Tribolium castaneum: one gene and its partner. The protein of the gene in region 1 interacts with the protein of each later gene in a pairwise test. Links are inferred from orthologs where the notes say so. Each region holds a gene or a part of one and is shown on either strand. Other genes may lie near its edges. The genes, in order: Rgl and Ras85D.

The links.
Region 2: the proteins of Rgl (region 1) and Ras85D interact in a two-hybrid assay, tested with the Caenorhabditis elegans proteins (3 studies listed by BioGRID). The link is inferred for Tribolium castaneum from reciprocal best matches to the Caenorhabditis elegans genes rgl-1 and let-60.

The regions. Positions count from the first base shown.
Region 1 is NC_087398.1:14,557,132-14,560,425, reverse strand, and holds the end of Rgl (ral guanine nucleotide dissociation stimulator-like 1), read left to right. Parts: intron 1-1,860; coding exon 1,861-1,982; 3' UTR 1,983-2,486; downstream 2,487-3,294.
Region 2 is NC_087397.1:5,188,385-5,192,923, forward strand, and holds Ras85D (ras-like protein 1), read right to left. Parts: upstream 2,880-4,539; 5' UTR 2,642-2,879; coding exon 2,246-2,641; intron 1,753-2,245; coding exon 1,567-1,752; 3' UTR 523-1,566; downstream 1-522. Other genes in the region: DENN domain-containing protein Crag, read left to right, coding at 1-42, 92-407; uncharacterized protein LOC663430, read left to right, coding at 3,427-4,407, 4,453-4,539. UniProt on the Caenorhabditis elegans protein: GTP-binding protein with GTPase activity. The level of let-60 controls the switch between vulval and hypodermal cell fates during C.elegans vulval induction. May stimulate the guanine nucleotide exchange factor (GEF) activity of rap-1.

The DNA of each region.
Region 1 (3,294 bases):
AAAGACAAAAAAGTGGGAGAACAGGTGCTATAAAAGAACTTAAATGTTAAAAACTCCCTTACCTCTCAATTAAAATTGTTAAAATTTTTATCATTTATTACCTGCTGATATGTGCTGTTAGATGTTTTTTATGTCTGTACGGTCTATCTCTAAAAAAATTTGAATTGTTTTTTGAAAAAATAATAATAGGGGTCGAACCGCATCCTGCTGTTCTAATTCTATTTTTAATTTTTAATTTTAAACAAATGTTGGCATTTTCAATTAAAAGAAATCAGATACTTTGGAGCATTCCAAAGCGATTTAGCTCGTTTATAAGCTAGGAATTATGAATAGAATCAAGATATGTTAACAACTAATAATAAAAACATCGTTTTCAACCAAAATAAAGCGATTAACGATTTTCAGTTCTGTCTATAGACGAGAAATCAACGAAACTCAATTTATTTTAACAAAAGTAATTAGAAATTCTTTATTTTTGGCCAAAATAAGACGTTTTGAGTCGCTCCAAAGCATTGGAAATCTGCATATTTCGACAAATACTACTCGTAAGTCCAAAAATCGTTCTTCTTGGAAAAAGTTATAATATGTATTATAATTTAAAAGGCATTTTGAAGCTAACTAAAAAACTCACGTATCTTATCAAAACCAACTCAAAAAAAACTTTATTTTAAGCCAAAATAAAGTGCTTTGGGCCTATTTAGCCCATTTATAAGAGAGGTAACATGAAAAAAACTATATATTTTGCCAAAACTAGTACTTAGCTCATAGTTTTCACCCATAATAAGGCGACTTGGCGATTTCCAATTATTTAGCTTACTCGTATAATAAACGAGGGATCATCGAATATCAACTTATTTCATCAAAACTACTAAGCAAATATTTTTTTCTGGACAAAATAAAGCTATTTAAGCAGTTCCGAATCGATTTTTTTCCTTCGAAAGCAAGGAGCTTTCTCTAAATGAAATGCAAAAGCATTATTATAGATATTGGCGAAAATAATGAATTTTGAGTCATTTACATGAGCAAGGACTCATTGAATATCTTTTCCAAAAATTACCATTTTAAACAAGGCAAACAAAGTTGTGCAACCCGAAAGACATTTTACAAGGAACGTTTTACGTTGAATGATAGAAGTACTACTAAAATTTTACCTAACTGAACCAAAGGAATGATGTAAATTTAATTAGAATAAAGATATAAAAATTAAAAGCTTAGTAACAAAAAAATTTTTATTTTTTGATAACTAATTGATATAACAATTATAATAGTAATTAATAGTACTATTTACTAGTTGTTAAAGAAACCGTTTTGTTAAAATTTTCAACTCACAAAAACGTCATTTAATTTTCCAGCAACTTTTTGTCTTAATCCAATATTAAACTTATAGAGCTTACGTATCAAGTTTACAAATTTTAAAATCACTGCTAATTATGCAAACACTGCTAAAATATTGTTAAATTGAACCAAAAATTGAAAATTACCAATTAACAAAAATAGAATTTGTTTTTAAGAAAATCTTAGGTAACTATTTGCTGCAAAGGTGGGCACAAATAGGTTTGGCTGATCATTGATTTCTGTTACATTACTTAAAAACTTTCGAGTACCAAAAATACAGAGGAAGGTGCTTTTTTGATGTATTTACAATGAGAATCTCTGAAATTTGGGCGCTTCTCGTTATTGTTTTTTATTGTCATCTTATGAACACAAGGGGCCCTTTTAGCGAAATATTTGAAAAATCTTATGTTTTCTACGTCGAACGTTTGTTCAATTATTATTTGTTGAGTTAGACATTTTATTGGACTTAATAAAAATTGTGGCATTATTTAAAAAAAATTGTTAAGATGAAATATTTTTTTGCAGAGATGGTCCTTCCATCAAATGCTAATGTCTACTACGCCGTGAATCCCGCCTACAACTTGAATTTTATTCTGCGTCCGAAGAAATCCGAAGAGTCTGACACTAGTATGAAGAAAGGGAAGTGAAGCCGCTACATAATAGGTGCAATTTAATTTAATTAAATGGTAAATGAAATGAGCTGTTTTTGACAAATAACGGAACAAATAACAACTGTGATAAAAAGCACAAATACTCTCTTTTTACATCACATTTTACGTTTTTATTTTTATTTATTTATTGCGATGAGGATTTGAAATGTGCTGAAGTAACCATATGGCATGGATTGTTTTATTTATTTCACTTTTTTAAATTAATTTAAAGCTTTACTTTTTGTGTAATTAATGTAAATTAATAATGGGCTAAGTATTGTAAATGTGAACAAATGTAATTTATTGTACTTATTAATGTAGAGTGTGTTAAGTAGGACCAACTTTTTCACCTTTAGCCTGACTAATTAACAAGCATTACTAGTGACGTGGCAAATTTGTTAATTACTCTAATGGTACTTAATTTAGACAATATCAATTTCAATATTTTCTGTAGCATCTTTCTAATGTACCTATTTTTGTAATAAAGGAAATTATACAGAACTCGTGTTTCTTCTTAACCCACAATCTAAAAATCCCTAATTAATTACTCTTTCATCACTTTGTGAAATGGTCCAAAATAAATTTTTCTATAACTTGGAAAAGCTGCCAGTGGCGGTTAGAGGGCGCCACGTCCTCAAGTTCGAAGTGTTTGAAGCAAAATAATATTCCATAGTTAATTAAACATTTAATAAAAGATTAATTAAAATATACATTTTCTTTCTCTAATTAGTGAAAAAAATATGAACGCACTTTTAGCTAAATAAGCTAAATTTTTAAGTATTTTTATTAAATTAAACGTTTTGTAGAAAGAAGTTTGTATTAGGTGCCGAAAAAAATGGTTTATGTCAAGAAAAAAGACATTCGTTGTCATTGATAAACATTTTGCTTCCTGTAAGTTACAGAAATTGTGTTGCCTTAAAGATGATGAAGTAATAGATTTCTAAACATAAGGCTGGCTTACAAACCCACATAATTGCAATTAGTTGAAACAAGGTGCACATGATATTTAAATATTTGAAAACACGATAGAAATTAAAAATTAAATACTCGAATGCCGCAGTAGTGAGTAGCGCAAATCAATATAAGATTTCCTATGTTCCTAAAAATGTTGTTTATAACAACAAAACGATTTATAAAGTTTATGAACATAAATAATATTTTTTAAAGCTATTTTTACACACAAGATTTTTTGTCCCGTCTGTCATATGTAAACAAAAGATAAATTAATTAGAAGTCGTTGCGCATTACCTTATTCTTCGATTTTGTGGTTTCAAAATTTTCAACAGGTTCCACCTTTTAATTTAAAAAT
Region 2 (4,539 bases), on another chromosome or scaffold:
GCGGGACGCGTCTCAAATCAATAAAAACATCGTAACGAAATCGTGAGTCATTTGGTTGGGGTGGATTGGTTTAGTGGCTGGGTTGTTGCAGGTTTATGCAGAAAGTGATCGTCAGTATTCGGCTCAACGACCTGGCGGAGCCTTTGAAGAACTTGGCGTCGGAGCGTGAGTCACACGGTCCGCATCAGGGGAAAAACCGGATTTCGATTTATCGCGACATCTTGTTTCTGGCGTGTAAAGCGCTGGGGAGGAGTCATATCGACTTGAATGCGTTTGATAAACAATACAGTGCGGCTTATTATCGTGCGACTGAAAGGAATAATAGACAGTTTGAGCCCCAAGATAAACCTCTGAGTACGATCGCGTTGTATTGCCGTCAATACTTCCGCCCACTATCTTTGCCTTGATCAGTTTGTTTGTGTTCTTTTTGTTTAATTAATAAGGTGCACTGCTATATTTTAACTGTAGGTTTTTTCTTGGGTCTATAGTTTTCAATAAAGTTGTTGAATAAAACGAGGTGTGTAAATATTTAACATTTTATTAATAAGAGAATTTTAGTAGACATATCTATAAACTAAATTGCTACATATATTTTTATTTTGTTTTTTCTTCTTTTTGTATAATATATGAAGGCAAAATTAAAACTAGATTAGTAGAACATTAAGAAAAATCTCATATGAAAAAACGGGGAATAACATGTCAAGACCAAGATTAAGCTTAAACTTGGTTATATTTCTTTAACGATTGATCATTGCTTGAAGTTAACTATACTTTATGCCAGAATACGAGGAATAAAACGAAAACAAAACGAACTGGTTCAATTGGGAGGCAGATGAGCGATTAGTTTATTCATCGTATCCAGAAACATGACAAAAAATTCTCATTAAAGAGGATAACTACATTAATATCAACAAAAAACGAAGAGAACGAGTTCTCTTTGAGGCACATACAAATTTGTGCGCAAACTATACATGATATGCTATTCCTGAGATATTACATAATTAAAAGGAAATCCGTTAGAAACAATAATCTTAATATCAACTTTTCTCGCCAAAAATGTTGCGCAACTGTACAAATTTCTCGTCAGAACTAAATAAAACTATCAATAAAATATACATCACATTCAGAATATACATATAAAATTTTAATATCTGACATATATAAAACCGTGTATTTATCCTCTTTAAAACAAAAATTTGTGCAAAGAGACGAAAAATGTTTCCGAAGCTTTTTCAATATAATATCTAAAAAGTATTTACAGCAAATTTAAGAATCGACAAGTAAGAATATACTGAGCAGAAAAGACACACTTGAACTAAAAGCAAAACGTGGTACATAAAAAAACTTCTTTCATAAGCTTCCTCTTACACATTTTCGCACACTGGAATTATGGAAACACGCACACGAATTGTCAAATGATATAACAATCGGGGGAGAAGAGTGAAGCGTCGCTCCCCCCTATTACTTTTTACACTATCACACTTTCACAGAGGAGAAAAATGCGAAGCAAAACACGATCCCATTTTTTTAAATTTTTTTGCTGGTCATCGAAACGATGAGTCTGTCTTAAAGGATGGTGCATCGCAACTTAAAAGGAACACGACCGTGGCCGCCGATGTACCTGTGCTGGCGTTTACCGCTTCTCGTTTTGTCCTTACGTATTTCTCTAACTAACGTGTAAAATGCCTCGTCCACACCCATCCTGGTCTTCGCCGACGTCTCCACGAACGGGATCCCGTACTGCCGCGCCACCTAAACAAAATTCGCATTTTTATAATGAAGAAATATCGAGAAAAAAGCTATTTTATGTGATATTTTGAGTAGATCGAAGATTACTTTAACTCCTGCTAGAAAGAAAAAATCAAGATACACTCGCCCAACCATGAGTCACCCTGTATCAGTTGCTAAGCAACAGCGAGAGTCAAATTACAGGAACCTACTATCCAGGAAGGTGGATAAATGGGAAAAACAAGTGGAATGTTCTTAAATAAACCACTCGGCTCAGATAATAATAAGATTTGGTAGAAATATTTACTTAATTTCTTTCCTGTGATATAAACATATTAGTGAGTCATCAGCATCAATCATTTGTTTTTGCATTCCTCTTTCACCAACACCTATTGACGTATTTTGAATGAGGAAACCTACTCAATTGCTATAAATGTGTGATTTTTGTTGTCTTAAAAACACGTTAGAACAATTGGTTTGTTTAGGCGCCAGGTGTCTGGTTTAGTGAGAATTTTACCTCTCTGGCTTGGTTCATGTCTACAGCCCACGAAGTGAGGTCGCATTTGTTTCCTACGAGTACCATTGGTACGACTTCGGCATCTTTAACCCTTTTAATTTGTTCCCTGTATGTTCCAATGTCTTCGAAACTTTTAGCTGAATTAACGGCGAAAACCAAAAGGAAACCTTCCCCTGTCCTCATGTACTGGTCTCGCATGGCACTGTATTCTTCCTGTCCTGCCGTATCCAAAATATCCAGTAAACACGTTTCCCCATCGATGACTACTTGTTTTCGATAGGAGTCTTCAATGGTAGGGTCGTATTCGTCGACGAAGTGATTTTGGATTAATTGTATGGTCAAAGCTGATTTGCCGACACCACCTGCTCCAACTACTACTAGTTTGTATTCAGTCATTTTATGTAGAAAATACCAAAACGGCTAAGCAAACGAAAATACCAAGAAGCACACGGTTTTTAATTTTTTTTATTAATTTTTGCAGGCTATGCAGGTCTTCTTATTCGTTATCCCAGCATAATAAAATCAACACAGCACACATTTAAACTGAAGCAATTAAGAACACTCGTATGCCCAGTAAATTACTCTAATTAATTGTAATCAAGAACGAAAGAGTAACAAAAGTTATCAAGACCGTCAAATGCACTACTAAACAATGCTGCCAACACACCTTCAGCTTCACAACCCACCCATCATAGCATCACCACAGACGTAAACAACGTCAACCACTCTTTTGTACCCCAAACGCCTAGAAACGACGCACCATAACATGGTCTAAACCCCTCACGAACAAATTTTATTGCATAGAATCCACAAAAACGTGAGTTATACGATAGGTTCGAATTTTTATTCGTTGTCAAAGTCGAGAAGGGTCTCTCTATTTTGCCCACCTCTGTGAGCATTGTGTAGTGTGGCCAACGGCCCAAATCCCCTAAAGCCAATATGTCATCAGATGACAAAGATAAAAAATATTCGTAAAGAATTAATTTTAATGTTATTAATTACTCGAAGTTGATTTTCTGCAAGCAGGACGAATCAAAACCGCGCCTTTCCTTTACTTAACGATGTAACTTCTGTGTTGTTAGCTCCTGAAATTCGGAAAAGTGTCCCAGTTGTGTAAGGTTAAGGTGAGTAATCTCCTTGAAAAAATTGTCATGTAAGGCGATCCCCCGACAGTTGTGACAATGTCGAACAAACAGCAAGAAACCCCCGGCGGTTCCATGGACAACGTCCGAGTGAAGATATCCGAAAAGTACAAGCCCCCTCCACGGATAGGCCTGGCAATGTCCTACGCACAAAGACTCACTTTAAACAAGCAAATCCAAGATACGATCCCGCATTACGAGTTTGTTTTAGAAAAGACTGTAATAGAGAAAATGAAGGAGTGGAGGACCGCGCGATCTGTGATGTTCCAGCAGTTAAACGAGAGACTAGAGAAAGCGAGAGAGGAGAAAAAGCGGCAAGACGAGCAGACCGATTATCAGCTAGAAGAAGAGATCGAAGTTTCAAGCCCTAGTCAATGTTACCAACAAAACCAATCAATGTTAATGCCTGTCAAAACCTACTCCACTGTCCTGACCCCCGTCTCGTCCGGGAGCCAGACGGACAAAAGTCCGTTCAATATCTCCGACTTCGAGGCGGACACTTCGAGCCCCTTCGACAACATGGAGCTAAAGTCAATCAATGATTTGGAAGAGCTAGCGCAAGTTTTAAAAGGAGAAGAATCTAAACCCAACTACTCAACGCCCGCTTATCCCATGGTGGGCCCCAGCAACTACACCTACAACATTCCCAGCTCCACCAGTTACGTCCCCACGTCGCATTATTCGAACCACAACGGCTACTACTACGCCCCCGAAACGATACAAACCTACCCTTATAGTTACACAAACCAAGGCGAAAATAAGTACAGTTGTTCGCCCCAAGACTACAAAAGCATACCCGATATTATGAAGACGTTGCAAAACGAACTCGATAATACGCATATAGACAATACACGGAGCAAAAGTACTGACGTTTTTCCTAAACGGAGCGACGACTTAACCGACGAATTTACTTCTCTACCAAAGAATATGCAAGATTTGTCCAAATCGATCAGCTCGATGGGATTCCCCCTGTCCAGGGTCGCCCGCGTTTGCAAAATGCTGGGCAACGACCAAAAAAAGGTACTGATTTTTTCAAATTTTAAGGCACTACAAGGGCTGTTTCAGGTGGTGGAGCATTTACTGGCAATGTCCGAGTTGCTAGACTTAGGATTCCCCGAAAGTAGAGTATCGAAAGCCCTCCTTGAATGCGAT